4 linked regions of the Styela clava genome follow. The protein of the gene in region 3 purifies or fractionates together with the protein of the main gene of each other region. This does not show direct contact. Links are inferred from orthologs where the notes say so. Each region holds a gene or a part of one and is shown on either strand. Other genes may lie near its edges.

Region 1 (7,540 bases), on a different chromosome or scaffold from region 3:
GTCTATATTACTATCCCAACACAAAGCTATATTACAATTATAAAAATGGGTGCTATTATAAATATAATCAGGACTCACAAGAATACGAGTTTCAGCATCAACTTATGAGCTTCAATGACACGTCAAATACGAATATTGATAGAGATGATATTATTGGAAAGCAAATAGGTGATAAAATTTTTTTTTCGTCTCTGAAAAAAGCGGTATTTAAATATGGAAAATCTCAGAAGAGTCATCTCAAAGCAATCCAGGTGAACGAACTTTGCTCCCACTTTACGAATAGCCAATCTGAAGTTGAAGGGATGGCAGAAAACAATAAAAATTGTATATCAATATGCAAAACTGAAATCGGGCGATCACCATATCATGATTACAGTTTGTCTGATTCAGAGATTGAATGCATTAAATCAACAAGGAAAAATTATCTTGTATGTAGGAAATGTTCTAACATAACGGAAACCTGTTGTTGCCAGAATGAAAAATGCTTAAATATGAATATCAATGGCAAATCAGTATGTAACAGAATGACAAGAAAAGATGAAAAAATATCAGAATTAGACAGTTGCTCTGATACTGAACTAGAGACATTGTCAACACATCCTTTTAAATTTTTGAAATGTCCAAAATGTTTGTCTTTTGTTAATTCTGTTTGTTGTGAAGGTATAACAGAGTCGAGAAAACGACGGAAAGCTTCGGATTTAGCTGAAGATTCAAATAAACGCCATTGCTTAGAAAACTTTAAGTTAGTGTGTGATGATTCTTCCAAATTTTCAAAAGAAAAAGTCATTTATTCAATGGATTGTTTGGATGAAAATGATACAGACTTGGATTTAGAAACTAATGTGATTCCATGCATTCGAGCTATGGTCACTTCATCTAAAAGTCTAACATCTGGTACGTTATTTTTAATTACTCGTTATGGTGCAATTTTTGGTTCAAGTGAAAACTGTGAAATTCAAATACAAGAAGCTGATGTAAGTCCAAAACATGCAGCAGTGTTTTATAACCAACAACAAAGAAATTACTTTGTCACTGATTATGGGAGTGAGAATGGAACAACTCTAAATTCTATCACCGAACATAATCCTGGTATAACAACTGTGCTAGCCAGCCCTATTACACATAAAAGTGTGCTAATAATAGGAAACACTGTGTTTGTGTTACATCTGCATATTGGTTATGATACATGCGATGACTGTGAACCTGGTCAAATCCAAGCCATGATTGATACAAATAAGACCAATAATTCAGTTGAAATTTTGACAAAAAATGAAAAGGAAAAACAAAGGCGATCTGAGTTGAAGAATATTAGGAGAAAATATAATTTACATAATGATAAATATAAGCAATCGGAATTCGGTATTGAACCGCAGTATGTGGATAGAGCTTCTGAAAGAAGGCGATTGTTAGGCAGTGATAATCCATATGAAAAAGATGAGATGCCAACTTCAATGCAAACAGAGTTGGCCGATCACAACAAAGGCCACCAAATGCTAAAGAAAATGGGTTGGAATAAGGGACAGAGTCTAGGAAAATATCAAACAGGGATTACAGAACCTATTGCACCTGAAGGAAGTGGAAAAGGGAAATTCGGACTTGGTTACGGGAAAAATAGATAACGTTTGCTATAATTTACCTTTGCTATTGATGTTCTTGTATTGAACTATCTGGTGTCATAAATGCAAATTGTACAAACATTTTTCACGATACTCATTTTAATATTTTTCAAACATGAATTGGTGTCAAACACAGTTGTATAAACACATTGTATGGATAACAAATTTGAAAACATAATTCAAGACCTAAGTGGTCTGTCTAATTAATCTTGCTACCCAACTTCTGCCTCAACATCGTCTATGACAGAACACAGAACCATTCTTGAACTTATTTTTTGATGCAAAATTGTGTACGTACGTACCACTTGAAAATATGCTTCTGCTGTATAAAAAACAAATTCTGGAGTTATTAATGAAGAGAAATTTGTCACTATCACACCTTGTCCGTACTTTGTTACCCACAAAAACTATTCGCCAGAGTGCATGGATGCTGAAAATACCACGGTAAATCCTTTACTGAATTTAATTATTTGTTTGTGCAATATTTTCTTTTGTTTTTACAGGAGTTACGGTATCTTATAATAAGTTATATTTAGTGACAGAAACAATATGTCTCGTAAAAGCTCATCTGTGCAGCGTGCACCAACGACGGCTACACAAAGACTTAAACAGGACTATCTTAGGTTAAAGAAAGATCCAATTCCATATGTCACTGCAGAACCCCTGCCATCTAATATTCTTGAATGGCATTACTTGGTGTTAGGACCCAATGACACACCCTATTTTGGTGGTATATATCATGGAAAATTAGTCTTTCCGAGGGAATTCCCATTCCGCCCACCTTCTATATACATGATCACCCCATCAGGAAGATTCAAATGCAACACAAGATTGTGCTTATCGATAAGTGATTTTCATCCAGATACTTGGAATCCTGCCTGGTCTGTAGGAACTATTTTAACTGGGTTGTTAAGTTTCATGGTCGAAGATTCTGCCACATTAGGTTCTATTGAAACATCACACTATACAAAACGTCAACTCGCACTTCAGAGTGGACCATTCAACTTGAAAGATTCAGTTTTCTGTGAACTATTTCCAGGAGTTGCCAAGGAAATTAGAGCAAGTATGAATGCTCAAACAACATCTCAGACAACAAATGCTAATGTAAAAAATGAACAACAATCAAACGCTGCAAATGAAAGGGAGAGAGACAACCAATCTAATCTTGTAAATTTAGTTATTGTTGCCGGAGTTGCTCTATTTGCTCTTGCAGTTAATAGCGTTATTCAAAGTTTATGAATATTATATTTGTGAAAAGTTTATATCGCAAATTTAACTTGATAGAAACGATATAGATCTTACGAAGTATCGTACTTATTACAGCCGTAAGCCCGTAATAAGCCAACTCGTGCTAAAAAAAATTTTGCTTAGATGGCCTAAATCACTGCACCTCTGTGCTTGTTTATGTGAATTAATTTGCAATGCTCATTTACTTGTCAAAGGATACTTCTGTAATGCCTGCTTACATTATTGCTGAATATTAGATGTATATTAATTACGCTCCATCGATAAGGTACAATGTGAAACTGGAATACAGATAACAAATAATTACTATGGTATGATGAATCGTTAATATCGTTTTTAATTTATATGGTATTCTGAAATTTTGAACCTTAAAATAGTCAACCCAATACTTATATTGTCAACACCAATTGGATAGGACTCCTCTGTTTCATATGACTAACACTATTTGGAGGAAACTTAGAAATGTCACTCAATAAATTCCATCAGGAATACAAAAAATCATCAATGTTGCATATTGGAATTGTTTATCTTTGAAGGAGTAATTTCAAATCATTTATTGTTCAATTGTAAGTTTATTTTTTCGATGTCCTGATGAAATCATGGCAATTTGTATAATTCGGTCATTATTCAACTGAGTATTCAACACTCATATTTTTTGCTTTGCGACAATATTTATCGAGTGTATTGTATTTTTCATTGGCAATCCATAAAAGGAGTATAAATATTATGTTGTGGAAAGTTGAGATTATAACCCTGTTACTTGAGATAACATGTAGGTATTTTAATGGCCATACCCATGGGTTAATTCATTACATACGACAACAAGGCTCACAATTATTAGTCAGCATTGGTGATATTCTAGTCAATTCAGAAAAAATTAAGGATTCGATATATTTAATAATGAATCATATGTATTTCACTGGTCAACTTTATCTAACTTCCGTTTACCGTTTGACAATGTCGTTAAATTATTTAGATTACTTAACATACATTGAATTTCCATACATGCTAACTTTTTTGTACACCTGAATCGAGTGTTTTTTCTATTGACTTCTATGTTATGTTTTAAATAAATTAGCAGTTCTAGGAGTGTGTAAGAGTAGCATATGTAATGTAATAGTAACAGTCTGTTTTGCTCCACTGTGAATCAGTTTGCTATGTTGTATATAGAATATACGTGTAAATATCGTTTTACTTTGTTGAAATGAGTTCCAATTGGGCACCGTGAGTGAATACATTATATAGAGGAAATATTTTTTTGATTGGAAAATATTTTTGTCGTCACCTTAATGGCAATGTTGGTTATGCCTCTTATGTGTATTTATTTCTACATATTTTGATGTTTTTGATTTTCAATTCGGACAATGTATCTGAAAACCGAACTAAAAATTGCTTTGGGATTTTGGGATGTGGTACTTTTGTAGGTATACTTTTGAATCTGAAAGGGAGGGAACGTTTTTTGCCAGTTTATTATAAGAGTTTGTTTCTGTGTTTGTGAAGTGCAAAAAACAAAAAGGGAAAATTTTGTTGAATTTTCAATCTAGTGACCATTGATTGCAGGTTTTGTGATTTTCTTGTATGTCCACACCACATGATTTGTCTTGTATGTCCACATTTGTTTTTTTCAAACCTTCAAATTCTGTGCGAATCTTTTATTTCATTATCTTATATTTTGCGTTTGTATCATATTATGTCATTATGTAAAACATTAGTCTTCAAATTTTGTCATCTATTCAAATCCATGGACTGAGCTCTTCAACTTGAATATTAACATCCAAAGATTCACTATGAATGAGAATCTTGGATTCTGTGAGTATGACATTGTTACCTTTTGACTAGTACACATATCGCTATTTCAAAATAAAATATTTTCTCGATACAATGAATTATCCTAATGATGCATATTTCATATTTAGTACATGGCATGGAGGAGCTGATTTAAATTAAATTGCAATGGCTCCAACCCCAGCTCAAGCTTTATTCTTTACCTTGGAGCTAGGCTCAGGCTCTGCAGTCATTGAGGTTTTTAACATCACCACTAACATAAGCCCAAATGCAGTTTCGAAAGGTTTACTCAAAACTATGATATACGACTTACCGTACATATTTTTTCACTAAACTTTAAAATTCATCTGGAAATTTTCAAATTAATATTAGAAATTAACGGTGATTTGTTCGAAATATTAAAAAAATTATTAATGGTAAAAAATTAAATAGAATTAAAATCGCAACTTCCGATGAAGCGAGTAATATCAAAAGCAATCTCTATTTATTAAATACATGAATTTTTCAGCCTCATCATTATTAACAATAATCTTTTGTTTTTACAGATAAACGCACAATATCGAAATGTCTTCTCGTGATGTATTTTACAACATATGTTGCTGTCAACACATTACTTCATGAATATAAAAATTTCTTTGTTTACGATATATCAAAGATTTTAAATAAATTTGAGGTATGCATGAATGTGATGATTATAAATAAAGCGCCCTCTTTGTATCTAACATACCTTTTGTATTAATGTGTTCACAAATTTTTTTTTTAGCTTTGGAGGCTTCTGACAGGAAAATTTATATTTTTAACTCCTCATGAGTTCTTTTTTGGAAGTATTTTATTGTACGGGTTTTCAGATTTTGAAAGAAGATTCGGTTCATATAAGTTCATGGTAGGTGAATTTTTTTGTACTATTTTTAGCGAAATATCTCTACAGAGGAAAAAGTTGAGTGCCTTTGAACTGAATAAAGGCATTAAAGAAGTAGCTAATAGTATGTAAGGAATTAACTAATCTTAAAAAGTCATTACCTAATGACTTTTTAGTATTCCCTCCCATGAATGGGAGTTGAATCTGAAATTTTTAACTTGTGATGTTACGAAGTCCCAAGGCTCTCGCCACTCAGGGCAGGGATAGGATTTACATATTTATCCTTGAGGGAGAGGGAAGCCGATAAGACGACTTAATCATATGGCAAACCACAGCTTTTCGTCCGGTTACCAGTTCATGTTGGGTATGGAATTAGTTGGCCAGTTATTTGTTGGAAGCATGAACTTGATGGTGGAGAAAGTTGTAGCTGACCAGCGGTTATGTGAACCACCCTACAGCGTCGATGAGTCCAGCAATCTTCTCGCACATAACTAACCCCGCATGGGATTCGCACCTGCAAACCAATGCAGTGTAATCAGAGGTGCGGTGGTGAGCGTATTCCTAACATGTTGCACCATTTTTTAGCTTATACTGGATTTTTCTTTTTTCAGTCTTTCATTCTATGCAATTGGCTGTTGACATCATTACTTGAAGTTGCATTTACCACTTATTTCAAAGAGATCAAGATATTGCCATCAGGAATGCAAGTTTGTTATCTGTATACTTATTATTTATACAGTTCAATGTCGTAGTTAAATAAGCATTTGACAGCTAGGCGTCTCTATTACTGACTGATATTCAAGATAAGTTGAAGAGTTTGTGTAGGAGAATAAAACCCAGTATGGTTATTTGAAATTATGTCCGGTTGTATTTGTAAAGATGACTAAATTCGTGAACCTATTCTTTGATCATGTTTTAGGTACTGGCTCATCTATGCTCTCTTGGTGTTTTATTATCATGATATACCTGGAATTGAACAGGCTCGATTTGGCCCAATTAGGATTACTCAAAAAATACTTCATTATGGTCTGGTGGTCCAGATTATTGCTACTGATGAAACAAGATATCCTGTTTGTGGACTCGGTTTGGTAAGTATATAGTGAACTGTAATGGGTTAATGCATAATACTGTACGAATCAACCAAATGTATGATATAAATAGAGTGATTATTACTCTTGCAGATGAAATTGTTTCCGAGTGGGGTGGGATAAAATAAATTTTGTATATTTTCACTGGAGTCTGAACCTGAATTGTATTTTTAAACTCCTTGATGTCGTGTCGAGAGTTTAGGTAAAATTCTGAATTATCTGGAGACTGAGCCAGATTGCAGGCTTATAATGTCCAAACTTCCTACTAAAACTAATAGTTTAACTAAGCGCTCTTACCAGACAATTAAAAAAGGCTTGCATATGCTGAAGTTTTTGTTATCAAAATTTGATTTTCTCTAAGAGTTTTTTACAACCTGGAGTAGATTGTAAATTTTCTCCTGCTTCACAGCCCTGGAGGGAAGGTGCAGGACCATTTCTATCCTATTTGTTGCTATGTAAATTCGTCTTCAACCAAATTTCCTTTCAAGCACAGCTTGTTTATGAACCATGCCTTGTTTTGCTGTTGATTATCAGATCTAACCTTGACTTGCACTGCTGTTTGCGTGCTTCCAAAATCCTTAATTAAATAATTTTTTATTTTGTCATAAATTTATAAAAAAGTATATAAATGTATATAGTGAAAGTTTGTTTTACATTCAGATTTCTGGACTCATTTACTATTATAATATTTTGTATGTTGGAAGTTTTTTATCATTACCAGATACATTTCGAAAAACCACAGAAAACTATTTAGAAATGTTGGTAAGTAGAATCAGGGTTTATTAAAATCTAGATGCACATAGCCCAAGATTGTATCAAATCTATCTACCTTGTAGACAAGCACCTTGATCCACCATATATATTATAATGATCTGTAAAATTTGTTCAATCATATTAGTTTTTGCCGGAGAGTCTGTAGATAGAAATGTTTGGTATGACACATAACT
Region 2 (7,133 bases), on a different chromosome or scaffold from region 3:
GAGCATCGTCTTCCTTGTTTATTTCGTAACATTGGCCAATCAGCAAGATGCAGAAAAAATGACGTAATAATGGGCCTTTTCGCATCCGCTCAGACACTTTGGTCACCCTGACAGATTTTCAGTCGTGGTTGTAAAAAATACTTCATTTTTTGCGATTCTGAATGCTATTTGTTAGTTTCTGGTTGTGTTTGGGAAATTTAAGTACCGTATGAATCAAATAAGTCAATCATCATTTGCCTCTTTAGGAGTTGTAGTTTTAATAGTAGTAATGAAAAATTAGTCTAAGAAATAGCTGTGACAAAATGGGCTAAAATTTTCTACCGGGAGGCAACGTTTTCTGCGAAAGATGCACTCGCCGAAACTGTTTACGTCTTCGTGCTAAAATGAACGTCGAATGTGCATTTTGCGCTAACAGTACTGTAATCCCTTGCGCACTGGTCCAATTTCATTCTTTTTGACAAAAATATTTGTCCGGCCCGTTTCAACACAGTTTGAGTCATACCCGGCCCGCGTTCAAAAAAGTTTGGTGACCCCTGCTATAGACCTAAAACACCACCGTAGAAAATGCCAAAAGACTGACAACTCACCAGGCCTCTAGGTCAGTAGGTAGTCGAGTTGTCTCTGGTGAGTTGTCCGTGTAGTTGAGTTGTCCCTCAGCCGTTTATACAACTTCATCGCCCCCCCTGCACTACAAAAAATGTAAAGTCTGAAACGAATATATTACAGACCAAAAAGGAAGGCAAATCATAGTTTATAGTGTTTTTTAATTAGATGGATGAGCTTGGTGTTCTTCAACAAGTTATTTATTATATCTAAAATTAACCCGTTTACTGATGAAAAGGCGATTTCGTTGTTTTGATAGCAATAGTAGCACGGTTGAAAACCCCCTTTTCACCATATAATAGGTCAGAAATGAAAGAATTCAGGGTTCTACCTCCATAAAAACCGCCGTGTACGGTACTTGCATTATAGCATTTCACTCCCTAAATTCACCCCATTTCCACAAAATAATGAAAACAAAGTTAATTTTCCCAAATTTATAATGATGATTATCGTACATCTAATTCATTCCTACAGCCAAGACAGCCTTTTGACCTGTACCAAAATACTTCGGTAAAATTCATCCCCGATTCCTCAGTCTACCACGATCTCCAGTTCATAGAATTAATCAGCCATTTGTTTTTGGATTCATGGACTCGGATGTGGAAGAAGTCGTGACCGACTATCGGCTACGGCCCAGGGGCAGCAAATTTTATGTCACTCGCGGGACAAAATTCAGAGTTGCTAGTCTTTTGCGGGTCGCTTTTATTTTTTAAAGTTAAAAACGGAACAGTGCGCAAAAACTGCGACAATTCGTGAATTCAACTCAGTCGTCTTATTAAAAAATTATTACAATGACATTTAATGTGACACTGTCTTGTTGCTGCATCACGCTTGATAGCTTTACGACACCAAGATTGGTACTTTTTCTAAATGGGCGTCACTAATTCATCACCTAGTTCTTTGCTTGTTCTTTGTAATGTTCATTTTCGGAAATAAATTTGCGCACAAATATGTACTTCCAAACATCGAAGTGAGTATTTTCGCATGGTTTGTGAAATTTTGATAAAGATATTCTTTAACATTTTTACAAAAATTAAGCAGTGATTGAACCTCTCGAATAGAATATGAATTTTATTTCCCTATTGCATTGCAATATACTGATATATTCGAATATTTACTGCGCTATTGAACCCCTGCCCTCAGGCCTCAGCATCAACTTTTCTTCGTGTTTCCATTTGTCTAATTATAATTAAATTGTAGGCTCGTTAAACGAGTAGCTGGTCAATGGAATTTTCAGGATATAATAAAATTTAGTCTAAAGCAGGGGTGTCAAACTCGTGGGTTTCCGAGGGCCGCATTGCATTTTGGGAATTGTGCAAAGGGCCGCAATCAGTTTTTGATATATATATTTTGATAATGTATACTTGAAGCATATTTTTAGATGGGTGTAGTTTGTGACATATATTGTGATGCAATTAAACAGTTGAATAAAGTTTTGTTATCTTCCTAAATTTCAAATGACGTTTACATATTAATTATATTATTGCAATTTACCGTAATTACGAAAAATCATGAATTTTTATGTACAACTATCCAAAACATTTTTAAACAAAGTTTTGTAAAGGGAAGAATAATACATGCACTAAAAATGACTTACCGGAATCTAAATATATAGACCTAAAATTTACAAAAATACTACAGAATAAACTCAATGTTTTTTCATTACATATGTCTTGACATTTTGTATCTCTTTTGTGCAACCAGCTTACTAATATCAGGCTGAAATGATTTTACAGTCCCAACTCTAATTAACGAAGTCACATGATCGTCGGTTAATCTGGATTGTTGAGAATGTTCAATTAATTTCAGTAATGCAAAAATATTACGTTTATCATCCCATGTATAAATCCGTAAACAAACAAATGACTGACTTTTCGGACCAGATATTTCACGACATTTCCTACCATTACGTGGCATAGGACCGCTCTAGTTATGATTGATATTGATTTTTAGTAACTAGGTAGTTGTATAATTATACTGTAATAATATACAAACACATGAAAAGTTTATTTTCGAAGTTGATCTCTAAATTTGTCATATTGATTGCTGAGCATATTTTGATAATGTCTACTTATATTGTATTCTTTATTGTACTGAGGAAATGTGACAAATCGAACAATGTGCTCCATTAGTATTTTGAGAAATGCAGAAATATTGCAGCTCCCATTTTTCTTTAAAAATGCCATTTTCTTCATGTACTTTGCGTTTCATTTAATCCCTGAAGTCCTGAAGTGTTTTATTCAAGTATTTTATTGCTAGCTTGAGGTGTATTCATAATTGGGTCAAATTGAAAAACATTTTTATTTTAATTTTTCAGAACTACTTTCAATAAATTGTCGTTTTCTGTGTCAATAAACAATTTCACTTTGAAAGGTTCGAAAAATGTATTACATTTAGATAAAAAAAAAAACTTACAAAATATTACAATTATTGTTAGGCGTCCGAGGGCCGCATTGTAAGTTCTCTGGGGCCGCATGTGGCCCGCGGGCCGCGAGTTTGACAACCCTGGTCTAAAGTAGGCTCACGATAAATTCTGTTGTCTAAAAAATATAATTTACTCCTCGAGCGTAGATTATAAATAAAATTAATTCATCGTCAAAACCGCCGTTTGGATGTTTCCCCAGGCATACCCTTCCTTGTTTACTTTGTGGCATTGCCCAATCAGCAATCAGCAAGATGCAAAAATAAACGTAACAATGCCCCCTTCCGCATCCGCTCAGACACACCCTCATTTTCGCGTTTTTTTAAATATATTTGTTAGTTTTTAGTTGTTTTTCGGAAATTTAATATAAGTCAATGATTACTTTGTCTTCCTATGAGTTTCAGTTTAAATACAGTAATCAAAAAGTGTAAAATAATATGTGATAGACTAGGCTAAAATTCTTTATCGTCACTTTTAAAAAACAGGAAGAATTTTTCGCGGTCAAAGGTCGGGGAAAGGTCCATTCAGTGAATCGTCCCTGAGCAGATTATTTTACTCCGGCCGTATTTTGCCGAGCGATACGCGAACTACCGTAACTTACTGCGAAGACGAGTCCAGTAATCCTTTGGCGTGTAATAATCGCCCCCGTGATTCAAGCATGCGAATGCACACAGAGTACAGAATTAAGTGCACGATGCGTCGAACAAAATCAGGTTTCGTGAAATCGCCCCCTTTGACTTTTTCGCCCCCCTCTGTATCATTTTCGCCCACCGCCCACTTTGGGAATCACTGGGCTAGAGTAAGGTAACCTTGGTCTGTTTAGGTATCGTAATTTAGGTTTCGTTCCGATAATTGCAGGACAGCAGGAACTTGTTTTTACCACTGTCCCCCAAAGTTTGCTGTTTTACCTGGAAAATCACCTAGATGTAGGCGTATATAGATGTATATAAAATGTCCTTTGAAAGACAGAAAGATATCTTTGGTAGGTTTATGTAAAAATTCTTCCCAGTTCCGGTTATTTATGGTCTGTTCCGGTTATTAAAGGAACCCATTATCTGTAGACTATACCGGAATATTAATTTTTTATTTGTGCCACAATTGCAGAAAGTATTTGTTAGGCAAAAACAAGTAAAATGCCTTCGTCTTTTGTCCTTCGAAGGATACCTGTTATGCTTCCAAGCATACAGCTATACACAGTAGCAAGCATTCTATTGCTTGTATTAGTTGTTTTTTGGGCTGATAAGGAACACACAAGAATGAATTCAAAACAATCAGAAAACCCATCAATGACTGTTGATAAGTTTCATACACATCAACAACCAGATGTTGAAATGTCCTCTGTTTCTGAACGAGGCATGTTCGGTATATCTTATGTTCAAGGTAGGCTACCAAGCTTTTGAAGTTATTAATTTGTCATATTACTGTATTACGATTGGCTTGTAAATGGAAAATCGACTGCATGTAGATGTCCATTGTATCATCCTTTACCATACACCAAGATCTATAATATTGATTTTTTTTTCATGGAGCAAACGTTCTCTGTGAAAACCTTGTTTATTTGTATTTGACTACTACTTTTTTTGTTTAAAAACCCGTTATTTCTAGTCGACCATTCATTCCAAGTGCATAACTCTTGATTTTGTATTTCATTTTCTGACATAAAAAAATATTGGCCCATGCTGCATTCGGAGAAGTAATCAAAAAATCGCACTTAGTGTTTTTTCGTCATAAAATTAACCAGAAAAATCTTTTGACATATTGTTACACCACCAATGTCTCTGAATTGTCCGATGTTATGGCTAGCTGAGGCAACTAGTGAAGTTGAATGATGTTCTTGGCAGTCCTTCTATCTTTTTGGTCAGGAATATGCTAACAATTTTAGCATCATAAGGAGCTTAAGTTCAATGCCAATTCTTTTAGCCTAGGTTGGCTGTGCCTGATAACTAAATGTTATTGTCATGGTCTAACAATATAATTCATGTTGGGTGTTTATTGCGACCATCCTAAACAGAATTACAAAAAATGCTGCCTATATTAGTAATTACCCTCGGCCTTGATGTTCGGAAGCATTTACATTTGCAGAAACACTTTCTGTTTTACAGAGTTCGAAATCTTACCATAAATAAAAATATAGAAAGACTTTTGTATGTTTCAGTAAGTTTTTGGTGGTTTGGCACTATTGTGGCCTGCGAACAATGCAAAAATAATTGTGTGGCCTCCGGAGCCAACAACCTTGGACCACCCTGGTCTAGTCAATAAAATGTGAAGCCAAATACTTTTTTATACAATTTTTATTAATGTGAACTATGAAGGTTTTCAGTCGTGGATAAACACGATCATATTATGAGCAGATTGTAACTTGGTGGGATGCCAATATCCTCGGTTACATAATAAATCTTTTCATCATCCAACTGTCTTTTGTTATTATAAAAATTTAGCATTGTTGTGTGATTTAACTGTAGTTATGTGAACTAGTCACAATCTTCTTTAGGCATTCAACTCCATATTTATATATTGAAATACCATCTTCAAAAGACCAGTTTGATCCATGAGTCATTATAGGTATTTGTAAAAGCAAGTGAGAATATAAATTTGCAATATGGGCAAATCTGGTTCTAAGGACACATCTAATCTGATTTACTGTAAACCTGTCAAAGTGTTAATGATTTCACCCAGATAGGATAGGATCTATTCAAGTATCATCAAGTTTGATCAAATCTCAGAATTGATGTGTAAATTTGCAGTTGTAAAATAAAATAAATTGTTCTGAAAGTTGTATTTCATTGGTTGTTCGTGTGAGGAGAATATGGGGCACGATACGGTAGAGCAGACCCTATAGATAGGCCAAACTAACATAGATATTATATAAGTTGATTTCTGGATTGCCAATGTTTTCTTTTTTTCAGGAGTTGTAATAATCATGCTCGATGAGCCCCTTACTCTTGGTGTGTTAATCAATGCTGCTTATTGTTTATTTGCACTTGGCGCAAAATTTATTCTCAAAGTTGTATTTGGAAACTTGAGAGTTGTAGAAAGACAACATATTAAGGTTTGATATATTCCATGGCTATTACCATTTTTTTTTCTCTGTGTAAAACTTTCTAAAAAAGTTTGAATGTGATCTGATTGACTAAACTAATGTAATTTTTAAATTCTTGTAAACCTTAAAAATTGTATCTGATCGTGCCATGCACTGGTTTTATTTTGTCGCATAACATTTTATTGTTTTTTGAGTGCCCACAAGGGTGAATGTAAAATTTCTATTTTAAACTAGGATAAATTAATAGTAATATTTTTATGTTTTGAATTAGTTTGTACTGTAGCCTTTCACTTTTTATGTGGTTTATAGAATTGAAGGAAAAGATATTTTGGAACAGTTCAGAAAAAAAGATATCCATTGTATTGTTTTTGTTAATAGTGCAATTTTGATTCTTATGAACTTAATTAAATATTTAAAAATTGAAATGGAGAACATAACACAGAATGGTGGATGTATTCTAACTGAATAATGATGAATATAATATAAAGTTGTACTGATATTGCATCATACCATGTCTCATTTCTGAATATGTTAATTTAATGCCCTTATATAAAATCAATAGGCATGAGTCAGCTTGTTTGCTGTACTGTCTGCCTCATGCCATCAATTCAATGTTTACTGAGAGAAAACAACCATTTTTCGATGTTACATTATTTTTGTTGTAAAATTTTAAAGATACGTTAAGATGTCATTATTAAAATATATTTTATATTGATAAAATCATGGTATTAGGTATGTATGTTTATTTGCCTCAAAAATGTAACAATCTCTGAATAATAATTAAACAGTAAAACAGAGACTGGATACATGTTCCAGACCTTACCCAACACCCCTAACAATTATAACAGCAGTTTAGGACTGTTGCGTTATAATAGGACAACGGGCATGAAATATGCTATACAAATACAACTCAAGTAAAATACACAAGACAAAGAGGTACGACACAACGACGATATGTATAATTTAGTCAGTTTGTTTATGTCCATGTCACAGTTTATGGCTTCCATTACAAAATGTTCAATAGAAAATTTAACTGATTATTTTTATATTGGCAACAGGACAAATTCT
Region 3 (7,535 bases):
ACTATTAATTATAGACACAGAAATTGTTTAATTGCTTTGAGGAAATATAGTCCTTTTATAGTGATGGTTGGATGATCTAGGAGGAAATTCTGTTTGGGACACAGACGAAATTATCACACCATGCAAAAACACCCAAATTTGATTATATCACACTATTTAAATATTGGCTATCAAGTCAACTCTATACCAATACCTTACCTAAAATGCATCCTTCCATAGAGATATAAAATCACATCAAATTAAAATGACTCACAGCAAATTAATAAAAGTTGAAGGGGAGAATCCAATATAGCTCGACTAGTTTCAAATTCAATAATTAGTAATCTTGCAGGAACTATAATACCACCACTTGAACAGAAAACCAAAACCATGTACATGCATGTGAGGGAAGACCCCATATCAAAAAAGGGTTAGAAACATGCGCATGAAAAGGTTAAAATGTGAACAGATATTTAAAGAAAATATCATCCAGGTATGTCAGCTACCGTGTGATAAAAGAAAAATAGCCATGCATATCCCGATACGAGTGTTTTTGCACCAGACATGATTAAAACAAAAGTAATAAAAATTTAAAAGATGCAGACAATAGCTCAACTGCACGCCTAATCACAGTAACTAGAAGTTTCAGAAACAATAACAATATTATTATAGCTGTCCGACATTCACATGAAAACAACAAAGTGCGAGTGAGTAGTCTCCCAACTTTTTGTCATCGACCATCGACTAAAAAGTTTATTTGCCTTGAAGTTTGATATTTATTTGTTTCAATAATCAATACATTATGGTTAATTTCGTACAAAATTTTTTGGACTTCAACGTCTTCAAAAGTTTGGGTCCAGTTAAAAACAGGGAATGCTGACTCACAGATTTACTCATGAAAGCTATGAACAAATCAGAATTACTTCTTCGGTTGGAGGTATTTTTTATTTAAAAGTATGACGTCAAAGCAGTTTGATAGCACATTATTAGGAAAGTCGTAAGTAAGCTGATGATAATACTTCAAATTTCATCATATCTACAACCTTAAGTATATTTAGCAGTGATGGCCCACAGTACACTTTCACATCTTCTTTCACCAAAAACAATTCTTAAAAAAATTATTACAATTACTGAAGTACTCTGCAAGTTGAGATGGGTGTTTTGTTTCCATGGAGCCAGACTGAGATACAGTATCGGATATGGCTGAGTAACAACGATTGAAACATTGATAGAAGAGAGGCTAGAAAGAATGTAGGCTAGAAAGAATAATGGGCAAGTGAAGATCCTTTAGGAACTCCGAGCTTCATGACGCAAATATTATTAGAGGATGAATTGTCATATTACACAACTTGTTCTCTGTCATGCAGGTAGCTACTAATACAATTGAATGGGATCCCTCTGATTCCATAATTATACAGATTACTTGAAAGAAGAGGTAAAGGATGTCAAACTTTTTTGAAATATCAAGAAATATTCCAATAGCGTGTTTCTTGCCTCCAAATGCCTTGGTTAGCTTATGTTCCAAAACATTAGCAGCCGTAACAGTGGAGTATTGCTTGCAAAAATAATACTGATGCGAGTAGGAAATAATATTGCTCTCAAATAGTTTGACATCCTGCTATACATTATTTTTTTTAAAACATTTGAAAAATGATGATAGAAGATCGATTCTAAAACATGACTTGAGCTTCATTTCGCGTACGATGTTTTTATTTCTAATGATGTAGTTGGCCTCAAAACATGGATGATAATTCTTTCTCCCTGCCATATGAAAGCTGGCTTTTGTCACAGCTAGCTGGTTGTGGCATATTGTCAAGCAAGCTTTGTGCCACGTGGGAAAGTGTTCATTAAATTATTCCGTTTTCCATACTGCTTTGATGTTGCCTTTGTAAGGGGGAAATTTAGTTTGGAGTTTGCTTTTCTAAGAGGGAGCATAGTACAATTAGGAGATGCTAAATACTCTCTACCAAAACAGCACTGTTTACTTCTTTTGTCATATGCTTTTGTCCTAATGTGATCTATACTGCTAGCGAAGCTTGGGGTTATTCCGGTAGGACAGTTTATCAGAGAATAATAGGTCAAGCTGTGCATGATATCGACGAATATGCGGTATTAATATTAAATACATCTAGAACAGTGGTCCTAAACTGGGGGCGCGAGAGGTCACAAGATGCCCATTTGAAATTCTGTTTAAATCTCATTCTTGTTGCTTTATTACATCTTGTTTTGATTCGTATTCTTACAAACTAGGCCAATATGAGCTGTCCCTGTAACTTTTACTCCACTCCATCGTAATGCTGCCACTCGATTATTTTTAGGATATCACCGTTAGAAAATAACGTAAGTCTGCGATAAAATTCCATGGAGTAAAATTTATTTCAAGTCGGTAGTTTTAGAACATAAAAGGTGTGTCGCAGGCTCAAGGAATTTATGATATTTGCAATGTCTACGAAAGCGTTTTTAATCTGTAGCGGGCCTTACTAAAGCGAACCTCATGGTCTTTTCCGTTTTGTTTTTTAGTATTATATATATATTTTATAATGCTGCTCTTCAATCAAGAAATTTTGGATTGTGGATTCATTCCGTCATTCTATCTTTAGCATATCGTCGCTGATGATTATATAATAACTCGTTTTTCTCACATGTGTCATGGTTTCGTGCGAGAACAAAAAAGTAATTTTTATCGTCTTCACGGCACAAAACAGATGTCGGAGGAAATTTATGATTTTGGGAGAATTAACACCGAAAAAATATGTTTACGGCCTAAATAACACGTCACGTTGACGACAACAATCGGCGATTTCAACAAAATGTAATCGCTAACGTCATTAGCGACTTTATTTCTCAGAGGTCGAGAGTAAATTTGAAAAAATGAAGACGTTTGTAATCGTTGTGTATTTTTAACACACAGTAAATGAATTTTTGCATAGCTCAATAGTGATGAAGTAAACAATTGATTGAAATTTAACGTGTCATATGTAAACGTTTAAGCAGAAAATATATTAAAGTGCAAAAAGCATGCGTTTATTGCGTTTAATTTTACTTAAAATTTTTCATCATTCATTCCATTATATCTTCAACTTTGAGTATATTTAGCATAACATATATTTATTATAATTAAACTAATACGACGAAGCATTTTAAATGCTAGCAGTAGGCCTATCGGTCATGGATTGGAATATTTTGCGTAACAGAAAATCATCCTAGTAAAAATTGATTCTTTTACCTATTTTTATCAAAATTATTTGCCGAAAAGCGGGGAAAAAGTATAAATTATATTTTCTAATATTTCACGCGTGAACCACCACCGTGTTCAATATTACTCCCCATTAATTTGACCTCTCGTTTTCAAGAAATTCATTAAATTGTGTCTTATAGCTACTCTACATTTGAAAGTACACAATATATGTTATTAAATTTTGATTTCACTTTCGTTCGCGAAGTACAGGACTGATATTGTGCCGCGGGAATGGCTGGAGTAAACGCCTTGTTGGCGGCTTTCTAGAAGTAAGTACATTTGGTTATTAAATACGGCGTTACATAAGTTTTAATTTTTCGACGTAATGAAAATGAAAGCTTAAATTAGAAGCTGCGCAAGAGAATGGCGGCAATGCCCAATGTTCATGCTTCTGAAAACAAACAAGAGAGCTATGCTCAAATATATGGACACGTAGCGCCACCCAGTGGCAATGATTTTGATGACGTCATAGCGAGAAAAAAAAGTGATAACCTTCTGGAGAAAAATTTTATCTTTAACCACTGAAAATATCAAAGCAATTGGTCCAGTATTCGAAGAGAAAAGCGATTTTTTAAAAATGGAGACGGAGACAAATAACAATAACAACAAAATTTTGAAACGATCGTTATGGCCACTAAACGTGTCCAATAACTGACTAACTAATCCCACACCGGACACGGATTGGTAACCGGACTAGAGACCGTGGTTCTCCATATGATTAACCCATCTTATCGGCTTCCCGCTCTTTCGGGATGAACAGGTAAATCTTATCTTATGCCGATTTTATTTCATCGTCAGTAAAATACGTGACAAAGTAAAAAAAATCGTGGCTATTATTCGGAATTATTCTAAAATTAGCTGATAAACAGATAAAGTATTCAAATACTTTGATAGTCGAATATTCGATTCGTTTTGGACAACCCTGCTCAATCAATCAATCAATCAATCAATTTTATTTCGGTCGCTCTGGTATAAAACGAAACAAAAACAAACGAACAAACACATAGGACCTGGAGGACGGGCATAACTTAAAGAAAAGTTAAAAACGTGAAAATACGCGCCCGTCCACCAAAATACGCGCCTCTGAAGTCATCATCAATTGTGACGAAATGCTCTACTTTGGAGATGTCAACTCTGTATATTTTGTAAATTGGAAATCGTTTGACAGGATCCCAAAAGATTTAGGCCCACGATCTAAAAGAACCCGAACTTTCCGTGCGCCTACATTCTTGCAATATGCATTCGCGTAAAAATGTAGTCAGGTAAAACCTTCTAAATACGACACCTAGCCACCGCTTGCAGCAGAAGTACATGTACCAGTACTATAATACCAGAACGCCAAGTTTATTATTTCTTTTCTGAAAATATATGGGACTGAATAGTATTTAGACTAGGATTGGATTGGTACCGGTGCGAAATAAATATCTAATAGGGCTGTGTATTATTGTATGGCGGACAATAACGAGCAAGTAATAGAAAATGATAGGGGTGAAGATGAAGAAAACTTGAATCAGGAATTAACAGAAAAACTGATTCATTTTCAGGTTAGCTTTGCTATCATTATAGGCTATGCAGTTACTGAATTATATGAATTCACATTCTACAATAACTTAATCTATGAATACATCTGGTGAGTGAAGCAGGCCTAGCCCACCTCTTCATGCATCCAACTTGGCAATTCTGTTTGGGCAATTTGCCATTAGGTGACTCCAATTATAATCTGCTTGACGATATCTTTTCAGGAATATTTTTTCTATCCACAGTACATAACTCCTTTTGCTGTTTTGACTAATTTGGTATCCAATTCCTGAATTCGACAATACTCATAAAATTATTAATTTGGTGTGGCAAAAGAATTTATTCTTTTTATTTGTTTGTATATTCTTCTTCTTACTGCAGTACTGAGTAATTGATTTTATGTCTCGCTTTTTTCACTCCCAACCTTGTCATGTCTCGATGATTGTATGTTTGTGTGTATATGCGTTGTATGCATGCGTTAATTAGTTTACTACTCTTAGGTGACAGGGTGAGCGAACACGTACTACTTCTTCTATCAATACCTCCCCACCCAAAATATGTACGCTTTAAACCTTGCTTGAGGTTTCGTTTGCTTTCCCGACCCTATAATCAGTTTTATTTATTTTGTTTTTTTCTATTGCCTATTGCTGATTATGGAGTCAAAATAAACTTATACTTATAGTAGCGTATCGGATTATTGTTTGGGAAAAAATGAAAATTTGGGTTGTATTTTTACATCACATTTGTGTTTGGCGTTATTTAAACATTTACAGATTTACAGCGTTTACGGTACATCGCGAGACCCTATTGCTGTATTGCTCTGTATTACAGTACTTTGATAGGATTTTTGCCTGTGTCTTTTGATCTTAATTTCTCTTGACGTTAGAATTGTTATGTTACTTTCCCGTCTGACTGTGTTGATAATAACCTCACTGATATTATGATCTGTGTAGTTTCTAAGGCAAGAACTTTACTGCATAAATAGCAGTTTTTCACCTACTGACCTAATTTACGTAATATAATGAAGGTGTAGACCCAATTTTGTACTTTAACATGCCCATGTTTGAGTGCAATTATAGCAAATCAAACTATTTTTACCTAACCAATTTCTCACCCAAAATCTGTCATAATATTAAAATCGTATTTAAAACGTCTTTCAGGAAATCACCAACATAGACGATCTGAATAGATGTAAAACTATTTTGAGGCAACATGATTGGAATGTTGAAAGTGCAGTCCAGTCAACATTTCTTGAGGCAGGAATGTCTAATTCTCAACAGGTTGTATTGTGGGAAGTCCCTCTTTAATAATTATCTTTTAGATTACACATGATTAATTGGCTACGCCTTTCAAAACATTGGTAAACACTGTTTTATTTCTTTAGTCAAATCTACCACCATCGATATCTGCAAATTCTGGTTTAAGACGAAGAAATGTTGCCACCATATCTCCACCACTTCCATTAAGAACTAATTCTCATACGACATTGTATGAAGCAAGAGGATTACAATTGAGGCAACCTCAAGGAATATTTGAATGGGGATATTATGTTTTATCAATGCCATTCCGATTTACATGGTCAACGTTATTTGGAATTGTGAGGTATTTCTGCATAATAATTCTGCACTGAAGTACTATCAGTGTAAAGCCTTTTGAATATTACCTGTTAAATTGATTACACAGTAAAATTTATCAGGCCGATCGCATTTCAAATTCATGAGATCCAAAGTCCTTAGCTATAACAAGTCATGTAAGATTGATTTTAGATGTCATTGTAAGCAACCTTGTGTGTAAGACTATTCAACAGAATAATAGCTGTCAAGGGGAAATCAATTCTTTCAGTTCTAAACACCTTCAAAATATTTCTCACCACCAAAAATGTAGTTGGACTTCCATTTGGCCTATTAATTTCAAAATAACTTTGAAACACCTGAAATGTAAATGGAATGAAGAAATGCTTGTTAATAAACAATGGCAAATAAAACTAGAACCCTATAATGATCCTTTTTTTAAATTTGATAACTATTGAATTTTTATTAATTTTACGCTTTATATTTCATGTGTCTCCTGACTGTTTACCACAGGTTTTTTATGCGTCTCTTTCTGCCTGACACGAGGGCAAGGCTAACAGATCCTCTTGGAGATGTAACATCATTTATTACTGAATATGAAGAATTATATGGTGAACGTCACCCAGTGTTTTTTCAGGTATTTTTGCATATTTTCAAACACATTGTTATATAATTTTCCTACGAAAATCGTTTAATTTCTTTCTCATTGATCATTTATTAGTTATTGATAAAATTGAGTTTTGAATTTCATTGTCTAAGCTCTAAGCAATTAATTCACCATATGTTGTTGCATCTGGCCTTATATATTCTTCACTTCAAACAAAGACTTCAAACAATAAGAAGTTGATCATGAATAATAAAATGGTTCTGAACAAGTCTTTTAAGTATATTACTTGAATCAGGGTAGGTGAATTTTACATGCTTTCTTGCTTGTTCAACCAAAAAAGTGTCCGTCTGCAAGAAATTTACGGAATTCCTCTAAATGATTAGTTTTTATATTTCTGGAGTCTCATAATTATAATTATATATTTTCAAATTTTGAATATCACATCATCCACATGTATATTGTGCAGTTCCGACTAAGCTTTTTATTTTTCATAGGGATCCTATGCAGATGCTCAAAATGAGTGTCGAAGACAAATGCAATTTTTATTGGTTTATTTACATGGACCAGACCACCAAGACACTCCAGACTTTTGTAATAACACTCTTGCGAATGATGATGTTAT
Region 4 (6,863 bases), on a different chromosome or scaffold from region 3:
ATGGGCTTCGTTGCTGTCAGTCGTGCTTCATAAACAAAATCATAGCGAAGTATAAAATATCAGTAAAATATGTACAAGTCTGGCCAGAATAACCCCATATCAACAAAATGGCTTCAACGCTGTCAGTCATGCTCCATAAATTAAGGTTCGATAGTAAGCGCATTAAACGCATAGCACGATGTTGTCATTACCGAGTGAACAAACATAACAGAAGGCAACAATACCTTTAGATCTATCCTCAGCAACCAAGTCTGAAATGATCCAACCAACTTTCTGAAGCCCAAGTGCTTTCGCTACTTTCTCCACAATCTCTTGATGAGGGTCGGGCAGGATCTTCAGCGAGTTAGCCGAGCTTTCCTGTGGTGGCTCATATATTGCACAAACCTCTGCACGAATGCCGAGTGGTACTTCCTAAAATAATAAGAATAGTTCAGAAAAAACAAAACTTGAAAAAAAAAGCTGTTCTGGGAAAATGGGGAATTTTAATTTTTAATAAACTCTTCCAACTTTTAATAAAAATACTTTGTCGTGAACAACACTTAAACTTTGACTAGAAAACCACTTTATAAACCAATTTTTATAATTTTTTTAAAAGTTCCCAAATTCACCCTCTGTCCTGAAAGCCTCAAATTGTATTGTAAAGAATAATCATGATCTGAATAACCCGAAGAAGCAAAACTTGCAAAAGCTCTTTCACACTTCCTGAATAATATGTATATCACTGTCAAAAGCACTCTCAACAATGCATAGTATATTGCAAAGCAAAATTATTATTCAAAGACGAGACTTGAAAAAAAAATGTTTTTTTTAAATTTTTCAATCTTTCTTATTTGCATTATATCAAGTATTCCCATCAGGCTATAAAAGGGCAACATCTAGTTTTGCCATTCTGTCAGTGCCTTTGTGACATGACAAGATTTTGCTCTTGTTCGAGTAAGAGAGGTCGCCAAAATATATCGTGGAAATCAAACTTTCCAGAGCAGTTTTGATTCTTTCATCTTGGATTTTATTTTCCCCTTAATTAGAAAAACCAATTCAGTTTGGAACTTGTATAAACACTTTTGTATATCGTTTATCCTCGCATATGAGCCGAGTTCAAAACTTGACAAAAATGTTGTCAAATTAATGTGTCAGCTGATACGCTCTTACAACTCTGGGATTGGAAAGATGGAGAAGGTGATAGTGGGGATAAATTTTTAGGGATTTTGAGACACTTCTTGCTGTTATTAATAAAAGTTAAACAACAATAATGGTGATTATTTTCATTAATGCTCTTCTGCAACCATTTGATGTGACAGGTGAGTACAGTGAGTTACAATTTGTAGGATTTGCTTATATGCAAATTTTTATGAATTCAACGTTTTAGGTTCGTTTTAAGGGAGTTGGCTGATATGCAAGATCAGCTTATAATATGCGAATTATATATATACGGTAACGAGTATATATTTCTTCATCTTATACCTTATGTTGAGTATATCTTCCATACATGAATCCCATTCTCTGGTTTCCACTATTCCTCCAATAATTCAGGAATCTATCAGCGACTTCTCGATTTTCAAACATAATATTATCAACATGACGAAATTTTTGTTGATTCAGAGTGATTGCCGTTGGAAGGTCGAGGAGAGATCTAAAGAATGAATTCAAAATTGAGATTAGTCTGAAACACAGGTTCTCAACCAATGGAACATGCATGGCCCACTGTTGGACCAAAGACCTATTAAAAATTAGTAGTAATTTATTTGTGTCCCTATAGTTAATTTTGATTGTAGCAGCAATGAATGACAATGCTGTTTTCTGCTACTGAGTGGTAATTTTCATTCTAATTATTAATGTGAAAGTGTCCATTCTTGTGGGAAGATTTAGTATTTCTTGTAGTTTTTCCTTTGCATAAAGAAGTTTTTGGGCCACAGGATTATTGTTAAACAAAAACGGGCCATGATTGAAAATTGTTGAGAACTACTGCTCTAGAATAAATCTAAATGAAATTATTGTTTCAAGAGGCAGCCGTTGTTTACATAAATTTTTTCCGCTAGAATAAACAAACTTGTACATTGCTTTAATTTTGTCAGTAGTTGTATTTAGCTGTTCATTCAATACTTTTCAGAGCAATTTGTCTGCGATGTATTCTCGATATGATACAGACAAATTAATTCAAATATTCTCTCCAAATAAATTTTAAGCAATTTCTATGTCAGTATCAATTTCGAAAATAAACTTTTTCCAAATTGACAATTCTACAAATGGCAGTATCTATAAACTATTTTAAAACTTCAAAATTTGTTACACGAAACGTATTTAACTTAAAATCGTTTAGAATATTCATTTTAGATTTCTCTCGTCACAGATTTGATACGCATACTAATTGGAAGTAACAACCTTAATCAGAGATATAAATCAAAAAATCTCAAACCTTTTTTCTTCGCTAATCCCTTCTAGTTTGCAAGCAGTTCTGGTACTTTCCAGTTTAAAGTATTTCCCTTTGTCCACACCAGAAGTCTGTTGGCGCATGTACGCATGAAACGATAAAAACTTAATATCCTTTGATTTAAGATATGACTCATCCCATGAGTTTATCGGTAGATCATCAATCTTAAACATTCCACCTCTGACAGAACTCTTTTCATTTTGCGGAATCCTACCATCTTGTTTCCATAATTCTACGTCAATTTCGTCCTCTGTAAATTTCACTATGGGCGGGGCTTCGTTTTCAACCACGCCTCCATCTCCAGCTACGTTCATTCCGTCAGTGAAGATAAGATAACACATATCTCCATGTTTCAGTTTTTTGTTACTCAATTTTGACCGTGACCCCTTTTTAAGTTCATTTGTTCGGTCACGATTTTGAAACAAACACCAATTTTCATTTGCAAGAGCAAATTCCTCCGCGACCTTCCCAAGAAATGATGTAACCGTCTCCGAAGATGTTACCTCAACCCGTTTTGTACCATCCTTTGACTGGATTCTAATTATCATTATGGTTTAATTATTTTAATACTATATCTGTAAATTAGCTGCATGGTTAGAAAATTGCATATAAAGCGTAATTACAAGTGGTAAGGGCCTACGAGGTTTGCATAAGCAATATCAACAAATAGAATGTTTCCATAGATCAGTGATTTTGAACCTTTTTGCAGAAACTGGCGAACTTCCAGAGGCTTGAAAAATCCCTGTGCAATAGCTACGGTAAATTGTCTTTTATTGTCAGAACTGTATAGACTATAAATTTGCTTTTGTAAACTTGGTACTGGCAAAGCATAATCTTGAAAGGGTAGCATATTTTCAAAATAGTGGCCAATATTCAAACGAGAATATCGGTCGGAGACCCACCACTTATTGATCGAAAGTTAGGGGATCCCCCAAAACAGAAACTGCGGTTTCGATACCTTCACTATGACTCAATAGTGACACCGCGTGTCCCATCACTAATCAATAACTCGCTAATTATACGATATAATTCATCCTAAATCAATAGGCTTCTGGTTCGAGATATGATGAATGCACATGCAAAATTTGGAGCAGATTCAACCTCGCTTTCGTGAGATATCACGTAACATACGAAAGTGTCTGACAGACAAACAAACAGACAAATACCTATCAACATACTACTGATCAAGATCGATAAGGAATAATTTGCATAAACTTTCTGATTTTAGTAGAAACTTGCGGAACCGCCAGACTGTCTGTATTGGTGGAACTGTAGGGTGTAGCAGGAAAATGTTTGAAAACCACTGTCATAGTATATTATGCGTATGCCTCTCAGGTGAAGCGCAAATACTAAACAGAATTGATAAAAAAAAAATGGAAAACGAGTCTTCTTTGGTATAATTTAGGCCTATTACAGAGTGAGAAGTTTGGACAGAATATTCTTATTCGAAATAAAAGGTTTCATTGCTGCCAGTCATGCTTCATAAATTAAATCATATCAAAGCAGAGTTTATGTAAAAACATCACAGAGAAGAGAAATATTTTAAATATAAGTCTAGCCAGAATTTTCTCATACTAATAAGAGGGTTTCGTTGCTGCCAGTCATGCTTCACAAACTGAATCATACCAAAGCAAGGTCGGCTCACTTAATTAAGTGATTGGGATATTTTAATACTAACGAAAGCGTTTCATTGCCAGTCATGCTACACAAATATTTTTAAGGCAGTAGACTACTCTACTACTTGCATACACAAAAGGATAGTCAGTAAGTGGCATTGTGTGAATCTTTATAGGCTATGTATATAATATATTGGTATTCAACATCCACCATAAATTTTCTTTTCCTACAATGGGCAAATCATTGGTTACCGATAGCCTAATGAACAAACAGTTAATTATATTTTTCTTAAAAATAAAACAATTGTGCAAAATATAAGAAATCATCAAAAAAAAAATAGGATAGGATTTACATATTTATCCTGGGGGAGAGGAAAGCCGATAAGACGGCTTATCCATATGGCGAACCACGGCCTCTCGTCCGGTTACCATTCCAAGTCGGGTATGGGATTAGTTATATTGTTTGTTTTCGGAAGTATGGACTTGGTGGTGGAGGAAGCTGTAACCGACTAGCGGTTACGTGAACCACCCATTGACGGCGAGGAGGCACATAACCGTCCCTGCAAACCCACGCGAAATAATTAGAGATGCGGTGGCGAGCGTATTCCTAACGCTTAGCCCGTTGAGCCTCACCGCCGCGCCAAAAAAGCACCAGTGGTAGAAGGACATCTCACAAGGCTATGGGACTGGAGTAGAGAGTATCGACATAACAGCGAAAGGATTGCTAGACTTTTCAATGCTGTACAGTAATTCACAAAACTGCTGGTCGGTTACGGCTTTCTTCGCCATCAAGTCCATGCATCTGAAACAAATAACTGGGTGACTAATCCCATACAGAGCCAGGCAGTCCCGATAAAACATAACAGGAGATTCTCTTACTAACTAGGCTATACAAATGAATTCTAATCCATGAAGTTAAATCAACCATAATAGCAGTATCCAGAAATCAAGATGTAATATATGTACAGTCATCATTCAAAAAAGAGCAATATTACCACAAACACTTCCCACCTAGAAAATAAGAGTGTTCCCATTACAAGCAATTCTAACCTCACTCACACAAACATGGAAACATAGGAAAAATTCAAATGTCAAAAATTTAATCAAGCTGAATTTTTTAAAGGTACTTATGAGTCTTGTTAAAAACCACATACACTTCCCACCTGGAAAATAAGAGTGTTCACCTTGCGAGCAATTCTAACCATGCTCACACAAACATGAAGACATGGTCAGAAATTTGAATGCCGAGATTTTAATCCATCTGCAATTTGTGACTACTCCTATAAAACCACAAACACTTCCCATCCCAGAAAATATGAGTGTTCCTGTTACTAGCAATTCTAACCACGCTTACACAAGCATGTAAACATGGGCATAAACTTGAATGTCGGTAATTTAATCCAGCTGCATTTTATGAATAATTGTAAGTCTCATTTGTGACCAAGAACATTTTCCACACAGAAAAAAAGAGTGTTCCCATTGTGAGAAAGTTAACCAAGATCCACTTTTCCAATATTATCCAAGTTTCCTTGGTTGAATATATATCATGGAGGAAAAAATCAGGGATTGAAATGAAGGAATTGTAGGTAGGAAAAATACAATGATTTCAAGAACTGGAAATTCAGAAAGTTCACACAGTTTTATTATCACGATATATGAAGTTTGATATAAAAAAATTGCAGAATCATTAAAAACATATAAGATTTTTATTATTTATCTCAGGAGAAAAAAGTCAATAACGAACATAATTATAAGGCAGATATAGAATCTCATGAGGGAAATAGCTGATCAGATAGTCATTCCAGATTCATGGACATGAAAATATAAACGAGCAAAATAAATTTTTATTGTTGGATTGATTTAGAATTGAAATTTGAAAAGTCTAAATGGATTTCGATATAAAAACAATTGCATAATTGGAAAAAACAGTTTTCACTGAACTTTTCATATTTGCACTGGGAAAACAAGAAAATGGATAAAGCGGTTCAACAAGACATAAAAATTGTCCATTTAATATAACTGAAATAAGATATGAAACAAAATATCTAAGAAACAGAAATCTATACGCAATGGTCCCATGGTTATATCGCCATGTGAAAACAAATTAAAAAGGGGAAAGGTGTTGCTGATGATTTGCTATAGGCTCGGCGGTGTGGCGCATCGTGCTAAGCGTTAGGAATACGCTCGCCACCTCATCTCTGATTACCCTTCATGGGTTCGCAGGTTCAAATCTCATGTGGGGATGATCATGTGCGAGAGGATTGCTGGACTCCTCTCCGCCGTAGGGTGGTTCACTTAACCGCTGGTCGGTTACGGCTTCCACCACCATCAAGTCCATGCTTCCAAAAATAAATAACTGGCTAACTAATCCCATACCAGACCTGGACTGGTAACCGGACCAGAGGCCGTGGTTCGCTGCCATATAATTAAGCTGTCTTATCGGCTTTCCTCTCCTCCGGAATAAATATGTAAATCCTATCCTATATCAACTTGATCAAAAAATCATACGAAATTCAATATAACCCCTGAAAAATGAAACCCAGATCCTATGGAACATATACTAGAAAAAATTTTTTTGCAAAGCATTTAGATTTACTAAAACTTTTGGGTATAAAAAAAATTCTGTGTTGAATAACTTTTAATTTCTCACTACACCAGTGGTCACTTGAAAACATTCCACTAAAAATAATCAATTATAATCATATAGGGTCAAAAATGCATTCGCATCTTCGATATTCTTTTCAAATCCCAGACATCATATTTAGCTCAATAATTTGAACATGAATAATCACAGCATAATCTTTAAATAGAACAGTCTT

What was found.
Region 1: the proteins of FAS-associated factor 2-like (region 3) and ubiquitin-associated domain-containing protein 2-like purify together in Homo sapiens (affinity purification with western blotting; 7 studies listed by BioGRID and IntAct, with this or other methods). This does not show direct contact. The link is inferred for Styela clava from reciprocal best matches to the Homo sapiens genes FAF2 and UBAC2.
Region 2: the proteins of FAS-associated factor 2-like (region 3) and E3 ubiquitin-protein ligase AMFR-like purify together in Homo sapiens (affinity purification with western blotting; 9 studies listed by BioGRID and IntAct, with this or other methods). This does not show direct contact. The link is inferred for Styela clava from reciprocal best matches to the Homo sapiens genes FAF2 and AMFR.
Region 4: the proteins of FAS-associated factor 2-like (region 3) and nuclear protein localization protein 4 homolog purify together in Homo sapiens (affinity purification with mass spectrometry; 3 studies listed by BioGRID and IntAct, with this or other methods). This does not show direct contact. The link is inferred for Styela clava from reciprocal best matches to the Homo sapiens genes FAF2 and NPLOC4.

Annotation. Positions count from the first base shown.
Region 1 is NC_135261.1:15,005,981-15,013,520, reverse strand, and holds the start of ubiquitin-associated domain-containing protein 2-like, read left to right. Parts: upstream 1-4,529; 5' UTR 4,530-4,648; coding exon 4,649-4,670; intron 4,671-5,191; coding exon 5,192-5,319; intron 5,320-5,409; coding exon 5,410-5,529; intron 5,530-6,116; coding exon 6,117-6,208; intron 6,209-6,424; coding exon 6,425-6,593; intron 6,594-7,253; coding exon 7,254-7,355; intron 7,356-7,540. Other genes in the region: uncharacterized protein LOC120329411, read left to right, coding at 1-1,619; ubiquitin-conjugating enzyme E2 J2-like, read left to right, coding at 2,166-2,855. UniProt on the Homo sapiens protein: Restricts trafficking of FAF2 from the endoplasmic reticulum to lipid droplets.
Region 2 is NC_135257.1:56,328-63,460, forward strand, and holds the start of E3 ubiquitin-protein ligase AMFR-like, read left to right. Parts: upstream 1-4,111; 5' UTR 4,112-4,158; coding exon 4,159-4,405; intron 4,406-5,931; coding exon 5,932-6,074; intron 6,075-7,123; coding exon 7,124-7,133. UniProt on the Homo sapiens protein: E3 ubiquitin-protein ligase that mediates the polyubiquitination of lysine and cysteine residues on target proteins, such as CD3D, CYP3A4, CFTR, INSIG1, SOAT2/ACAT2 and APOB for proteasomal degradation.
Region 3 is NC_135256.1:23,646,703-23,654,237, forward strand, and holds the start of FAS-associated factor 2-like, read left to right. Parts: upstream 1-4,519; 5' UTR 4,520-4,665; coding exon 4,666-4,761; intron 4,762-5,895; coding exon 5,896-6,015; intron 6,016-6,119; coding exon 6,120-6,337; intron 6,338-6,819; coding exon 6,820-6,943; intron 6,944-7,407; coding exon 7,408-7,535. UniProt on the Homo sapiens protein: Plays an important role in endoplasmic reticulum-associated degradation (ERAD) that mediates ubiquitin-dependent degradation of misfolded endoplasmic reticulum proteins.
Region 4 is NC_135262.1:3,006,220-3,013,082, reverse strand, and holds the start of nuclear protein localization protein 4 homolog, read right to left. Parts: upstream 3,028-6,863; 5' UTR 2,977-3,027; coding exon 2,414-2,976; intron 1,631-2,413; coding exon 1,462-1,630; intron 412-1,461; coding exon 225-411; intron 1-224. UniProt on the Homo sapiens protein: The ternary complex containing UFD1, VCP and NPLOC4 binds ubiquitinated proteins and is necessary for the export of misfolded proteins from the ER to the cytoplasm, where they are degraded by the proteasome.